2 linked regions of the Caenorhabditis elegans genome follow. The protein of the gene in region 2 interacts with the protein of the main gene of each other region in a pairwise test. Each region holds a gene or a part of one and is shown on either strand. Other genes may lie near its edges.

Region 1 (7,798 bases), on a different chromosome or scaffold from region 2:
TGTTCTGAAATGAAATACCGTTTTTTTTTATTGAGAAAACACTGAAACTACAAAAAATAATATATTTTAATCACAAAGGAACACATGTAAAGCGGGAATGGTCAAACGGCGGGCCGGATGCGGCTATCTGGCGCCCAACTAAACTTCAAAAACCGAGCCTCCGGTGGGGGCTATTTTCAGCCGACGACAGCCCGATGCGGTCCAATGGCGGTTGTTCGGCAGTGTTACGTGTTATTAGGTCGGCAAATAAGTTTTGAAGTATATCGTCAATTTATGTTTTTTTTCCAAAATTTTATTTTGAAGACTTATAGTAGGCAGTCAGTATATACAGTCAGTAGTATATATATATAGTCTATGAGTTTCAACTATTTCGGCCAGCTTTTTTGCTAATTTGTTCTGAAAAAATCGAAAAACTCTGGAGATTTTTTTTATTGATTTTTAACAATAGCTGTTATCGATGTGACGTTAATATCTAACGCAATCACGTTTTGTATGTTTAGAGCAAAAAAAAACGAATCTTAACCCAATTGAGCTATTCCAAAAAAAGTGGACCACAAAAAATGAGACATTTTCAGTTTTTGTTTATTCTAGAAAATTTTTATGAGAATTTATGTAAACTTACTACTTTCATTTAGTTTTTCAAAATCAAGTTATTTACTGTAGATTTCAAGTGTTTCCACCTTTTTCTCAAAGTCTGATATTTGGATTACCTCGAAAGTTTTTTTCAGAAAATTGTTTAACCCAAAAACATTGAAAGTTTTTAAACAGAACAGTTCTATTTAAAAAATCATTATATTTTTTATTGATTGATTTTCTTGAAATTGAAATTCACTTTGAACTGTTGTATGGCTTTCTTTGAAAAACTATAACCGTTTTTTTATTGGCTGAAAAAAAACCAAACAATTAAAAAATAAAGTAACTACAAAACGAAAATACACAAATAGAATAGTTTCAATGTTCTTGTTTTGTCAAATGGTTTGAGAAAAAAGTCAACCAAATACCAAATTTCAAGACAAAAAATTGGCTTTCAAATACTGTTTTTCGGCCGGCTCACGACCTATTTGTTTGGAACACAGTTTTTGTCATTGTTAGTTCTTAAAATACTCTCAGGCTAAGAACAGAGTAAAACAATAACAAAAACAAGCTCAACACAAAAGTAACTCATATGCCGTTTAGCGAAACAGCTGTCCGCGGTTTTTGAGCCGCCATTGGACTGTTCCCGCATTACCTGTGTATGTCACTTCTACCCTCAAATTGAACATTTGCAACCGCCCACGCATCTTATGGCTGTAGTTCAAAAATACACTTTTCCACACATATTGAAAAGTGTAACGGAAAAATCTCTATCTTGTCAACAAATGTATACTTTTACCGGTGAATCACATTCAACTGCAGTTGTGAATAATTTTTTCAATAAACATTTTCATACCTGCATTTTGCACATGACCATACAATCCATAGTAATCCAAAACACTACGTGAAGCATGATTGTTGTAAGCATATCAATATTAGCAATGTAGTTGAGACTGAAGGAAATTATGAGTGCAGAAGGGAAGCAATCCTGAAATTTGTTGAACTGTTATATTTTCACTTGAACACTTCTTTTCTCAAATTTGCGGCTGCAAGAACAATTAGGGTTAATATGTTCCGGGCCAAAATTCATAATTTTTTTCACCAGGTAGATTGTTCTCAAATTGTAGGAATCTATAGTATCATTTATGTGCTTTCATTTGACAGAAGCTTAAAAAAGGTGAAAATTTTAAAAGTTGTTTGTTGGTTGTTAAAAAATGTTCATATATGAATATATGATTTTGCATGCAGAAATAATGCAAAACAGTCATAGTAAGGATAGGAGTCATAGATAGGAGTCATAGTAATAGTAAGGAACTTTTTTTTGACATTCCGAAATTTGAATTTATTATAAATAAAAACAATTTAATATTTTTTTAACGATCAATAAAATGTTGTTTTTAAACTAGTCTGGTTTTTTTTAAGTTTTCAATAAATCCACATACTTCATTTTAAATTAAACAAAACCAATTTATTCAACTCAGCGGAAAAGAAGCGCGATCGGACAGATGCCTCAAAAAATGGCTCCGAGTTAAGGCCTTGATGGTATGAAAATTTTTTTAATCTATTGTCACATAAAATAGCGTAATGATAACAAAGATTCCTGGAGCTTATTCTCCACCTCCCCCAATATAATACTTTTTACTATGAAGACTCACTTGCAGCGGCTCCACAAAAATAATTTGAGGCATCATTGCCATTCTAAGCTTCACCCATCGACAGACTCTATCCGTGAATGACGTCATGGTTACCGCAGCAGAATTTTGTAGCGCTGGATGTGTAGAAATTCCTGATTTGTATCCTCGAGACGCCAGTTTCTTCCCGAAGAAGTAATCCTCGGCAAGATATCCACTGAACGCAGCAAAGCCGCCACATTCATCCAATGCTTCCTTTTTCATCATCGATGACATTCCGGTTGGGCAGTTGAATTGGAGGCAGTTTCCGGCTAGATAAATTCTGGCATGAGAGGTTCCGAAATATATCTAAAACTATTTAGTCTATATGTATCAATGTTAAAGAAGAAGTAGTCGATGTGGGGAGATTACTAACAAGTGTAGCCCATACTGAAATACTCAAGGCGATATTAAAACAGGCAAGTACGTTAACAACGATAAAAATTAGCGTAAGACGCTTCAAAATTTGGATTGGCGCGCAATTTTTTGACTTGCTAGAGTTTTTGTTTGTTTTGACCATTCAATACAACTCACTTGCTCAAAAACCGAAGCAAACCCTTTTCTGTCCTTGCAATACGGAGTTTGCGTCACTAACGCCATTGTCTCATGGCTCATCATTGTACTTGCCATATCCAAAACTGCGTCAGATTTCATAAATATTCCACTATCACTAATCATTATAAGTTGGTACTTGGCTATTCTATAAGCTGGCATCATGTTGTTGATTTTTGGGTTCAGGCCAATTTTTTCGCCACCTGGAATTATTTGTTGAAAATTTCGTTCTTTCGGATAGAACTAACCAAAAAACATAGTTGAATCAACTGAGGGATATTTCTTGACTAAGCTCTCCACTACCTTCACTGCTGGATCATCTGATCTGTCAAAGCAAAATAGAAGTTCAAATTTGTGATACTGCGTTGTAAAAAATGTTTCTAAATTTGTGTATAAATTAGCGTCGGCTCCTATAATTGGCTTGATAATTGAGACTCCGGGTAGTGAAGGGTTGGGTTTGGTTGGACGGTGGAGTCGATACTTTCTGGAACAGGTTCTTTTAGAAAAAAACAGCTAGTGTAAACAGTATTCGAAAATCCGAGCAAGAACTTGTGAAAAGAAAATGTTAGATGTTTAAAATAGTATTTATTTAAGATAACAATTCTATAACCCTGGAAAATTTGTTTAAAAAATTTAACAAAATTTAACTGTATATTTTATTGGGGATTGCATCGGTTTTTTGAAGCCGATATTTCGTGTTTCCATAGTTAAAAAAAAAACTTTTGACTCACAAAATCTTGTGAATATCGTTTCATATTTGTTGTCGTCCGACTTGCTTATAATTCGAAAAAAGCCAAAAGTGTATTTTGTTGTGATTTGGGCCTAACGCTTTCCCTGCGTCCCAACTTTGCAGATATATGACCGGTCAGGCTCACCCACTCGCCACCACTCATTATCCGCGAATACATTCACTCTCCGTTGTCCTTTTCCGTTTATTATCTATTAATAATACATCCCATTTGAATTACCGCCATTTGCGTATTTCCCGATGCAAGCGCGCTCCTCCGATAACTCCCGTTATTCCGAAGCGTCATAGCTCCGTAAATCCACACAATAATTCTAACCTACTTTTAGGCCAATCGTTCATTCTGTTCTACTTTCTCCAGACGAGTCAGCGGCTACCCATCCGCAGACACTGTGATTCAGGACCTTTCTGCACCATTTCCATTCTGTTAATCACTTTAATTCCTATTTATATCCACTGAATAAACTGGAATTCATCTGAAACTGTGTACTGTTATTCTCTCCGCACCGCTTATCACCAATGCCGCTCGAACCTTGCTCCGTGTCTCTCCGCGCGTATCTGTAATACGCTGTTTGTCACTCGGTAGGGTGACTGACTCCCCTCTACTGGTCCCGAGTGTCAACATATTTTTTGTGATGGTTTTTTTTTAAATAGTTTTTTGTAGCAACAATGAATTAGAAAATTACGATATGTAATTTCCCTCAACTTTTTAAAAATCTTATAATTTTTTCAATTTGAAACAATTTATTTTCTGAAAGTTAAAAAAAAAACTTATAAAAATGAAAAATGAGCTCATGTGAGGTTCAGTAGGAAACTATTTCCAAATCTTTTCATAGACTTTACAAAAAGCCTAATTATAAAAATTGCTGCAGAAAGTATATTTTCATAATTAGGCAGCTGCGAGATTCTATTTTGGTTACAGAATTCTATGAAAATTTTTTATTAACTTTTTAATGTCTGGCTCGATTTTCATTTTGAAGACTCAAAAAACTCACCCATAGCATAAACCAACAATGTGCAAAAAGTACAATGCACTCACAAAAACCACACCGAAAACCGCAAAACATGTGCAATAATCGATGTCCTCTAATATTTTCTTTGTTCCAGTTAATAAAAGAGGTATATATTGCGAGAAAAGTGGGTAATATAACGACGAGGCGTTCTGTTCTTGAAGAGATTCAGGTTGAACTTCTGAAATTTCCGGAATAATCTCAACCTCCAAACCGGTTATTTTATCGCCCATTACTGCAATATTGTGGATTTTTTAAAATGTCAAATACGAATTGAAAAAAAAACACAAAGAACTAAAAGAAATAAAACAATGTTTCAAAATTGAGATGTTTTTAAATTTAAAAAAGATCTCCAAAATTGGACAAAAATTTCTCATAAAATGGTTTAACATTTTTTGATGTTCAGATCCAAAAAATTAATGTGCCATAAGTGCATAGAAAAAGGTTTTCTATCGACTTCCAAATTTATACCTTTTTGACTGATCATATAAAATGTTCAAAAAAACATTTGCAAAAATATCTGGTGATTTGGGACTATTTGAAAAACTCAACAATTATTTTTAAAAACAATATATGAAAAATGCTGTATTCTCATTTTCATAGCAAAAATTGAACCTGGTCAGAAAAGTACACAAAAAAGTGAAAAGTGAGTTTGCCTAAAAATTGAAAGTTCTCAGTTTTTAGCGAGAAAATGTCTGACAATTTAACAAATTAACTTCCTGAAAATGAAAAAAAAAACGTGTTCACTTAAAAAAAGTGATAATTCTGCTTGTCATATGTAACTAATTCTTCAAATTTTAAATATTTTCTAAAAATCCTGTTGCAAAAAGTTAATATTTAGAAGAAACGAAAAAATGATTGGTATTCAAACCCAGAACATTAAAACTACACTGAAAAAATATGAAAATCAGTTTGTGCTAATTGTGTTATGCCAATCAGAACAAGCGCTGATAACCTCTTTTTCAAAGTTTTTTGTTGAGTCTAAAATGATAAAGCTGACAACATTGAAAAAAAAACTCAATTCAAACAACCAAATGAAATTGAATGTTTTGGCAGTTTTTAAACATATATTTGGTGTTTAAAACTTATGGAGAAATAAAATAAATGTGGGGTGGCGCCCATAGCAGAATTGTATAAAATAATTCCTACTGTACTAACATGGTCAATAAGCATGGAGGAATAATTTAAAAAATAAAAAAAAGTAATTCAGTTTCAATAAAAATGTTTTCGCCTATTTATTATTATTTTACAGGTTGATAAAAAATGCTAGCAATTTTAAACTTTATATAGTTTTGATCTTTGTATTTTTATTTTTATTGTAAAAGCTCAATTTTGCCATAACGCACAAATATTTTTGAAAATCCTACTTTTTTAAATGGCAAACTAACCGTTGTTTAGTGTGAAATCCGACTGAGGATACTTTGTCACCAATTACTAAACTGTAAACAACTAGAGATGCACAAATGTCGTTATAATCTGAAATTTGAATAGTTACTGAAACATTTAAATGAAACTTAATCATATAGAGCTTCCATAACTTAATAGTTAACTTGATGGCTTTAAAATCACTTCACCAAAAATTTGATTATCATTATTTAAATTTATTTACGAAATTTAACATAACTTTTTTCTCTTCTTAATCTCAAGTTGCAAACAAAAAAATCGTCAATCTAGGCCTAAGACAAAACATAGTTAGAAATATATTGAAAACTAAGTACCAAGACAAAAGACACAACTGTTAACTATAAATTCTCGGAGACGCACTTGCCATTTAGGCACTGATAAAACGCGTGAGCGCAATGTACTATAAACTAATATTGCATCTGTAACGCGTTTTACCCTTCTTTTCTACTTTGATAACAAAAACACGCAAGTGAAAACTGAAAAAATTCATCAAATAATTATGCTGACAATCATCAAATTTTGAATACGAGTAAATGACTGCATGGCATCGCGGAGTGATACAAAGGTGCTGATAAAACGTTGGAGCTTCGATTTAAATTGAAATTATAGCCGCTCTTTTTGCATGTTTCCAATTCTAAGTTGAAGCAAAGTCTGTGTGAAATTTTACAATTATAGAAATTAAATCGTAATAACCGAAACCATCTGTAAAATGTTTTTAAACTTTTTCCTACATTTTTTATTTTTAGGCTGTCATGAAAATCCTGTCCTAATTTTTTGTTTAATCATTGTGGGCTAGAGATCAATTTCGGTGCTTACTCCTAGTGATTGATAAACAGTGCAGTCTTTGCAGTAATGAACCTCCCATCCCTCTCTCTTTCTCTCGGTTCAAGTTATTTGCTAACATGGTAGTTTACATATATATTAAACTGCTGAAAAACATAACTACTATTGCCCCATATATGTTTTTATTTCAAATCACATATTGCAGACAATAGACATGGAGATGTCCACCGATTTTCCAATCTGTTGTAAGGAAACGTTACCCAAATGGCTGATAGCATGACTGAAATTCCGTCATTCATTTTTTGAATAATTCATGCATAAATTTTTTTTTCTGGTTTTTATGTCGCTTTTCTAAGTATCTTTTTTTGTATTTTGAGTTCATGAGATTTTCTAATCTAAAATTTTTATTATTGTCGTATGACATGATTCTTGTACAAAAATGTTGCCTACCCTTTACGTAAGCAAATGTTGCATTTGAAAACACCACTCTGAACCAAGTTGATTTATCACTGAGTGATTCATGTTTCCAATTGTTGTGAAACACTGAAACTTACTCCAATTTTTTTCACATAAATGTTAAAAGATGCGCATGTTAGCTTTTGTAAAATCATTTATTTTTATTCTAACAAGTATATTTCATATTAGAGGCGGAGAACCGAAGTCTAGGAACTATCTTCAAATGACTCCAAATTTGTGCATGACTTCGAATATCTATGTGAAAAAAATTTCCCTCATTTTATTTTTGATCTTGAAATTGCAAATTCCATTTGCGTCCCAATGACTTTTTTCAAAGTCGCACCCAAATAATTTCTCATTGGAGCGCACAAAAAAAGTCGAGAACGCAATTGCAATTTACGATTTCAAGCTCAAATATACAATCAGGGAAATTTTTTCCAATAATGGTGAATTTTGAAGGCATTATTTTCCTTGAGTAAGCCTTTTTTCTATGTTAACATTGTGTTAATTTTATATCGCTAATCCAGTGTTTCCTTCTCCAACTTTTAGCTGTTCCATCTTTTTTCATCATCCACCTGCTCATTAATTTTGCTACAATGCAGTTG
Region 2 (7,192 bases):
CCAATTTGAAACAAAAATCAGAAAATTTTAACTTTTAAAAGCGGTTGGTTGAGGCTCTCACTACAAACTACAAATTTTCTAGCCTCACCAAAGAGATGGAAAATGATGTAGTTTGTAGTCTGAGCCTCAACCAGCGGATTTTGGCTCATTTTTCATGGAATTTACATTAAAATACAGCATTTTCGACATTTTTTAACGAAAATTAGTGTGGAAACTGACAAAAATCTCATAAAATTTATAATTTTGAGTAAAAATCTCAAGTTTTTCCAGAAGAAATTCGCTCAATTATTAAATTTTATAGCAAAACAAAAAAGAAAATCGATGAAAAGCCAACTAAAATGCACTAAAAAGAGCAAAATGTGCATCGGGCTGGCTCCGGGGAAAATGATGGCCGCGGCCGCCATTTTCCAAGGCCACCGGGGCTTATTGCATTGTTTATAAGGATTATTAGGGTTAAAATAAACAATTTCAGAGATATTTTAGTGGAAATAAGCCAAAAACCAGGAATTTCGGATGGAAAATGTTGAAAAATTTTTTTAAATGGTACAAATTGAAAAATCATTAAAAAAAAAGCATCATATGCGATAAAAAATACAAAATTAATCAAATTATCACAGAATATTCTCGGAAATTCTGCAATTCAGCCATCGAAATCGAATCAATCACGAAAAGCGGCGTGGCAAGCTCGAATTCCACATCGTTTTCGGCTGGAATTTCCCAATTTTCAGGTGCAATGACGAGATCAGCACGATGCAGGTGGCGGGTTACCTGGAAAATGGAAAAAGTTGAACTTTAGAGCTTTTTCAGGAGAAAATAGCTTCAAAAATCGGACATTTAATGCATTTCAGTGAGAAAATAGGAAAATTTTTCATGAAAAAATTTGAAAAAGTTGGATTTTCAAGGATTTCAGAGAGGAAAATGAGTTTTTTCAGGAAAAAAACACTTTTTTCTCCATTTCCCGTACTTTTCCACCGCATTTTTCGATCATCCAAGCCAAATCCGCAGAGTCTGGAGTACATTCGGGCGCGATCCACATTCTCAAATGGAAATTGGCGAAAATTTTCAAATTTTCGATTCGAAGCCATTCCTGATAAATGTAGTCGGAAGAGGGAAGGAGTTGGGAGTCTTCAAATGATTCTTCTAGCTGAAAATTTTTGGGAAATTGGTTGAGGCTCAGACTACAAACTATAATGTTTCTAGCCTCACCCAATGGTTGAGGCTAGAAATATTGTAGTTTGGAGTTTTCAAGGAGTTTTTTAAACCAATTTCAGAATACATACAATATTCAAAAAATTCAAGTATTTTTCAGATCATATTGTTGAAAATTGCTAAAATTATGAACATTTTTAAAAATCTCAAGTTTTAATTGAAAATTCCGCTAAATTCGAGAAATTTTAAATTAATGTTGGTTGAGACTAAGACTACAAACTACATAATTTCTAGCCTCACCCAAAAGTTCTTCATAATTTCAGCGGTTTAAATAGAACATTTGACTCATTTTTGCGAAAACCTCCAAAAAATGGTCGAAAACGTTGTGGTTGAGGTTTACACTACAAACTACAATAATTCTAGCCTCACCTAAAAGTTGGTTGAGGCTCACACTACAAACTACGAAATTTTTAGCCTCAACAAAAAATCAAATTAAAGGTTGGTTGAGGCCCACACTACAAACTACAATATATCTAGCCTCACCCAAAAGTTGGTTGAGGCTAGAAAACATGTAGTTTGTAGTGTGAGCCTCAACCAAAATTGAAATCAATTTTTGGTTGAGGCTTGAAATTTTGTAGATTTTTTTCGGGATTTTTCGAATTTTCTCAAATTTCCGCCTAAACTCTGTCAAATTTCATACCCATTGCGGTCGAACTATGGGTACATCACAACAAATCGCCCGAAGCACCAAAAGCGTCCGTTTTCCGTGTCTCGAAACGACACAAAGCGTCCGTTCTTCATCAATTTCCGTGCTAATCGTCATTTTGAACCGGCGAACGATGGTTTTCAGCTTCTTTTCGATTGGAGAGCTGGAAATTTTCAAAAATTCGGATTTTTTTCGGAGCAAAAATCCCCAACTCTTTACTAAACCCGGTGAAAATCACTTCATTTTTCGAATTTTCACCTAAATTTCTCGATTTTTTCATAGTTTTTCGCTGTAAAAACGCTGAAACATCAGAAATAAAGTCATCATCATCCTCTTCGTGTCGCTTTTGAAGCTGATTAATCACGTTTGAGCGTGTCGGGACCAGAATTTGCACCGAACATTCTCTGGGGGCTTCACTTATTGTCAACGATGCTAACGCTGATTGAATATCCGAGTCATCCACGTGGACGGGCATCATTTTCTGGCGGGAATTTGAATTTTTAGCTGGTTTCTTCGATTTTTTCGGCGTTCTCGCTCTATTTAAATCGGAATTTTTCGCCAAAACGTCACGAATTGTCGTCAAATCCGCCGCCATTGTTTTTCGCATGTCGTTCACCGTTTTTTGAGGCGCTTTTCGCGTTTTTCTCGGTTTTTTGGCGCCAAGTTCCGGATTCCACGTGTTTCTGACATCATTATTCGCTTCTTGAACCTCTAGCGCTGCATTTCCCGGCTCCCGGTGCTCTAGAACAAATCCTGTAAAGGAACGGCGCCTTCGGAGCGTTGAAGACGTGGAAATCGATGTGAAAAGCTGTTGTAGGGCTTCTGGAGACGGGATTCTAGAGTTTTTAGGCCTTTGAGAAGCTTTTTTTGCAGGAGGAGCTGGTGGTTGAGGTTGCTGGCGAGCTGGAAAATTTTTTTAAAAAACATTTTTTTTTAATTCACTCAAAAATTCGAAATTTTATACGTAAATTCTTCAAGATTTTCAACATTCTCAATAGAAATTGGAGTCAGGTTTTGAATAAATATCGATTTTGCCTCCGAAAATTTGGAAAATACATCTAAAAAATATTGGGTGAGGCTCAGACTACAAACTACACTATTTCTAGCCTCACCCAAAATTGGTTGAGGCCAGAAAAAGTGTAGTTTGTAGTGTGAGCCTCAACCAAATGCGGAAAACTTCATTTTTCGAATTGAAAATCGAATTTTAATCATTATTTTTCCAAATTTATATAATTTTCGCATAAAATTTCGAATTTTAAAAAAAATTCATGAAATTTACAATTTTTAAAGCAGAATTTCTGATAGAAAATTCAAAATTTGAAATTTTTTTTTATTTTCGAAATTTAATTTTTCGCAGGGAAAATTCATTTTTCGACTAAAAATTTTTTGAAAATCTGTTCTTTTCAAAATTTTCCGTCAAAATTTTAGAGTTTTTGAATAAAAATTCTAAATTTTCCGGGTTTTAACGTTTTTTCATCTAGCCTCACCCAAAAGTTGGTTTGGCTAGAGAAAGTGTAGTTTGTAGTCTGAGCTTTGTAGTCAAAAATTGAATTTTAAAGAATAATTTCAATAAAATTTCACAATTTCAGTGGTTTCAATAGAACATTTTATTCATTCTTGCAAAAAAACTTCAAAATTTGGTCGAAAACGTTCTGATTGAGGTTTAGACTACAAACTACAGTATTTCTAGCCTCACTCAAAAGTTCGGTGAGGCTAGAAAAAGTGTAGTTTGTAGTCTGAGCCTCAACCAAATCATTTTTTACTCAAAAATTGAATTTAAAAAATAAAATTTCACAATTTCAGTGCTTTCAATAGAACATTTGATTTATTTTTGCAAAAAAAACCCAAAAATTGGCTGAAAACGTTGTGGTTGAGGCTCAGACTACAAACTACAATAATTCTAGCCTCAACAAAATTGTTTTTTTGAAAAAACATGGATTTTCACTTATTTTTTGAGATTTTTCTACGATTTTGCGAGGATTTTTGAGCAAAAAAAGAGCTTGTTGCACTATTTATCGTCTTTTTAGCGATTTGTTCGGATTTTTTTACAAAAAAAAATCGTACTAGGGCAATCCGGAGAATGATATTCGAATCTGATGACGGGAACGTCTGAAAACATTAAATACATTGACTGAAAATCCTCATTTTACGGGGTTTACAATCCATTAAAGCATCAAGCCTCTCCGAGAGCTTCCGAATTTGCTCCAAAAGCTTTGCAGGGTCAGTTGGAGCATCATTTTCCATATCCTCCCAAAAAGTTTCCTCCTCATCGCCTAATGGAGTAGGTTCCCGGAAGCTTGAGAGCCGGCGGCACGATTGTCTGAAAATTTGGCAATTTATACCAAATTTTTTTGAAAAAAATCGATACTTTAAATATCTCAGCCCAATCATGGAAAAATCGTTTTCTTTGCATTTTTGTCGATTATCCAGACATTCCTGAATCCATTTCACGTCTACCATCATCGGAGGCTCCGGTTTTCTGGACATTGCCTCTCCGACAAGCTTTTCGTCGGCATAACGGTCTACGACAATATGGGTGGTCCGGTTATCGATTGTTTTTTGAATTTCTGCACCCATTTCCTGAAAAAATCTCCTCTCTCTCTCGGTTTCTTAAGGAAAAAGTGAGTAAAAATTGAAGAAAATTGTCGAAAAACCTAAAAATTCGAATATTTCTGTTAAAAATAAACTTTCGCGTCGAGACCCACCACTTGAATTTTGCTATGTACCTTTAATTTTGCCGTACGGTAAGCTGATTTTAAATCATTTTTAGGCATTTTTCAGCAGTTTTCCGCGAGATTTACACAATTTTCAACAAAATTTGATGAAAAATTTGAATTTCCCCCCACTAACAATTAATTTTTTCGACAAATGATGTCGAATAGGCAGGCAGCACCCGGCGGAGAGCACAATGACAGTTCCAGCCAGATATCCAACAGATTCAGGTACTTCTTCATCATCATCACATGCTAAAACATCTTCTCGAGAATCTGGAACCTCCTCTTCATCGCCGGAATCCAGAACAATTTCAGAGATCACCGAGTTTTCCGGGCGAAAACTGCTGAGATCACTGAAATCCCCACTGATTTGAATTGAAGTGCCCATTGTTCGATTACTCGGGCGTCCGGTCTGCGAAAAAATTGAAAATTCACTTTATTTTCTTATTTAGAAAATTTTTATTTGAAAAATGAAAGAAAAAAAATCGAAAAAACCTTTTTCGGAGTGTCCGCCGAGCTGAAATGGGTGGAATGGCGGTGCTCGTCATCGTCATCATCATAAATTGGCGAAATATTCGGGTCGAAACCATACGCAATCGACATTTTTCGGGAAAAAAATGAGAAAAATCGAGGAAAATCGGTTTCTAATTCGAAATTCGCGGTGGAAAAATTTGTTTTTTCAGATTGTCGTCAGATTTGGTGTTTGCGTACAAAGCGCCACACCTGACGCGCATTCACTTTTGTAGTTTGTAGACTGTAGGAGCTCGGTTTTGCGTTTTACAGCGCTTTTTTCAGGTTTTTTTTAGTTTTAAAAGTTAAATTTTCACCCAATAAATCTGAAAATTTAGTAAATTTTCTGAATTTTCGTTGAAAATCACCGGATCTTAGAAAACTTTAAATTTTTGATTCTAACTATAAGAAATCTACAAAATTACTTGAACTTGTGATTTTGTGTCTAAAATTTAAGAAAACGTTCATTAATAATACACTGGTTGAGACTTGGACTACAAACGACAATATTTATACTCTTTTTTTGTCTACCACTGCGTTTTGACGAAATTTTCTCTTTTCACGTAATTTTTTACTGATTTTACTTGAAAAGTACACTTTTTATTTGTAAAATACACGAAATACTGTGTTGTGACGGTACTTTTGAGTGAAATTCAATTTAAAATAATTTTTAAGAGTTTTACTTTGTTTTTCTGCATTAAAAATGATGGAAGTTAAACAAAAATTTTCTGTTTTAACCGTTGATTTTTTTTATTATGTTTGGTCTTTTCAATCTTTTCAAAAAACTTCATCATTTATTTCCAGAAATGCTCTCCAATCAAACGAGGGTGTGGTGTCACCCCGGAAAACGTGGCACTATCATCTGCAAAATCTTCATAGGTAAATAAATTGCTAAAAAGAATTTTTTCCATAAACTTTAAATTTTCAGACAATCAGCATTCGGAGAGTACCACGAAACGAGAGACCGGACCAAAATGGAAGATATCCAAACAGATTTGTCTTCTCTGAAAACGACTGGATTGAAGGACAATCCAAACGGAAACAAATCGAAACTTACGGGTTGACATCGACCAGAGCAACATCAGCTGTGGTCTTTCAACTGCTCAGAGGAAAGCCTTTTCCTTGATGATGGCGTATGGAACGTTGTACTTTCAACATTGGACTGGAAGGTGGAGCACGATCTCAAGTGGGTTGACGTCATGAGCGATGAGAACCAATTGAGCTCGGAGAGTCTCGACGAGGCTAGTGATGGCGTTGACTCTACTGCGACGCTAAAGACGAATATACTTTGGCCATTTGACGAAGCGGATAACGTTCATCTGAATGTCCACCAGCAAACTTGATTCTTCCTCGGACAATCGTAGCGAGTGGATTGACCAATTCCACTGCAACTTTTTCCTCACGAGGGACGAGGAAAAGTGGTTTCTAGGCCATGGCCGAGGGGCCGACAAGTTTCAGCGGCCATTTATCTTGCTTTGTTTTCCGCCACTCTTTCTTGGTCTAGTTTCAAGCGAAGCTTACAACGGATCATTCGGAACAACTCCGTTCAATTTCAAACCATATGGTGTGCAGGACGTTCACATTGATTTTTGCGGTCAAACAGTTCCAGGACGACCAATGAATCTAGACTTTGAAAATAACAAATTCGTGGAGGCCTACGTACAACTTCAGGAAACACTTGGTCACACTAGAAACAACTTTAGCTGCAATTCGATCGACATTGGAATGCTTAGATCTAAAGGATATACGATTTTTGGATTCGAGTTGAGCCCTGTGGCTCAAGATAATTCTCTCTTTGAACTAGTTCGGCAGACAAACGTTTGCGTTCGTCTAAACTTTAAGACCGAGACCCCTGTGGGTGGCCTCTATTGTGTCGTCTACGCCGAATTCGATCAAATATTTGCCCTAGACTTTATGCGTAACTCTATTATTGATAGTATTGTTTAAATTTTCAAACTGTTATTGATATTATTGTATAATTTTGTAAAAATTGTTATTGATGATGATATTTATTCGAATAAACTTAATTAAAAAATGATCTGTCGATATAATTGATAAATATAAGAGAGATGAGATTTGAATTTTGATGAGAGAGGATCTGTCGGTATAGTTG

Evidence for each region. Proteins that work in one complex are often made in the same cells at the same time.
Region 1: the proteins of W04A8.1 (region 2) and cgt-2 interact in a two-hybrid assay, tested with the Caenorhabditis elegans proteins (one large-scale study listed by BioGRID).

Annotation. Positions count from the first base shown.
Region 1 is NC_003284.9:17,693,460-17,701,257, reverse strand, and holds the start of cgt-2 (Ceramide glucosyltransferase 2), read right to left. Parts: upstream 6,027-7,798; 5' UTR 5,939-6,026; intron 4,786-5,938; 5' UTR 4,784-4,785; coding exon 4,536-4,783; intron 4,020-4,535; exon of another isoform or gene 3,912-4,019; intron 3,280-3,911; coding exon 3,044-3,279; intron 2,999-3,043; coding exon 2,778-2,998; intron 2,553-2,777; coding exon 2,229-2,552; intron 1,562-2,228; coding exon 1,430-1,561; intron 5-1,429; coding exon 1-4.
Region 2 is NC_003279.8:13,834,821-13,842,012, forward strand, and holds W04A8.1 (protein-serine/threonine phosphatase), read right to left. Parts: upstream 5,268-7,192; 5' UTR 5,173-5,267; coding exon 5,065-5,172; intron 4,982-5,064; coding exon 4,706-4,981; intron 4,436-4,705; coding exon 4,224-4,435; intron 4,176-4,223; coding exon 4,015-4,175; intron 3,965-4,014; coding exon 3,920-3,964; intron 2,759-3,919; coding exon 2,068-2,758; intron 2,019-2,067; coding exon 1,850-2,018; intron 1,145-1,849; coding exon 965-1,144; intron 769-964; coding exon 604-768; 3' UTR 507-603; downstream 1-506. Other genes in the region: W04A8.2 (Ovule protein), read left to right, coding at 5,886-5,958, 6,008-6,087.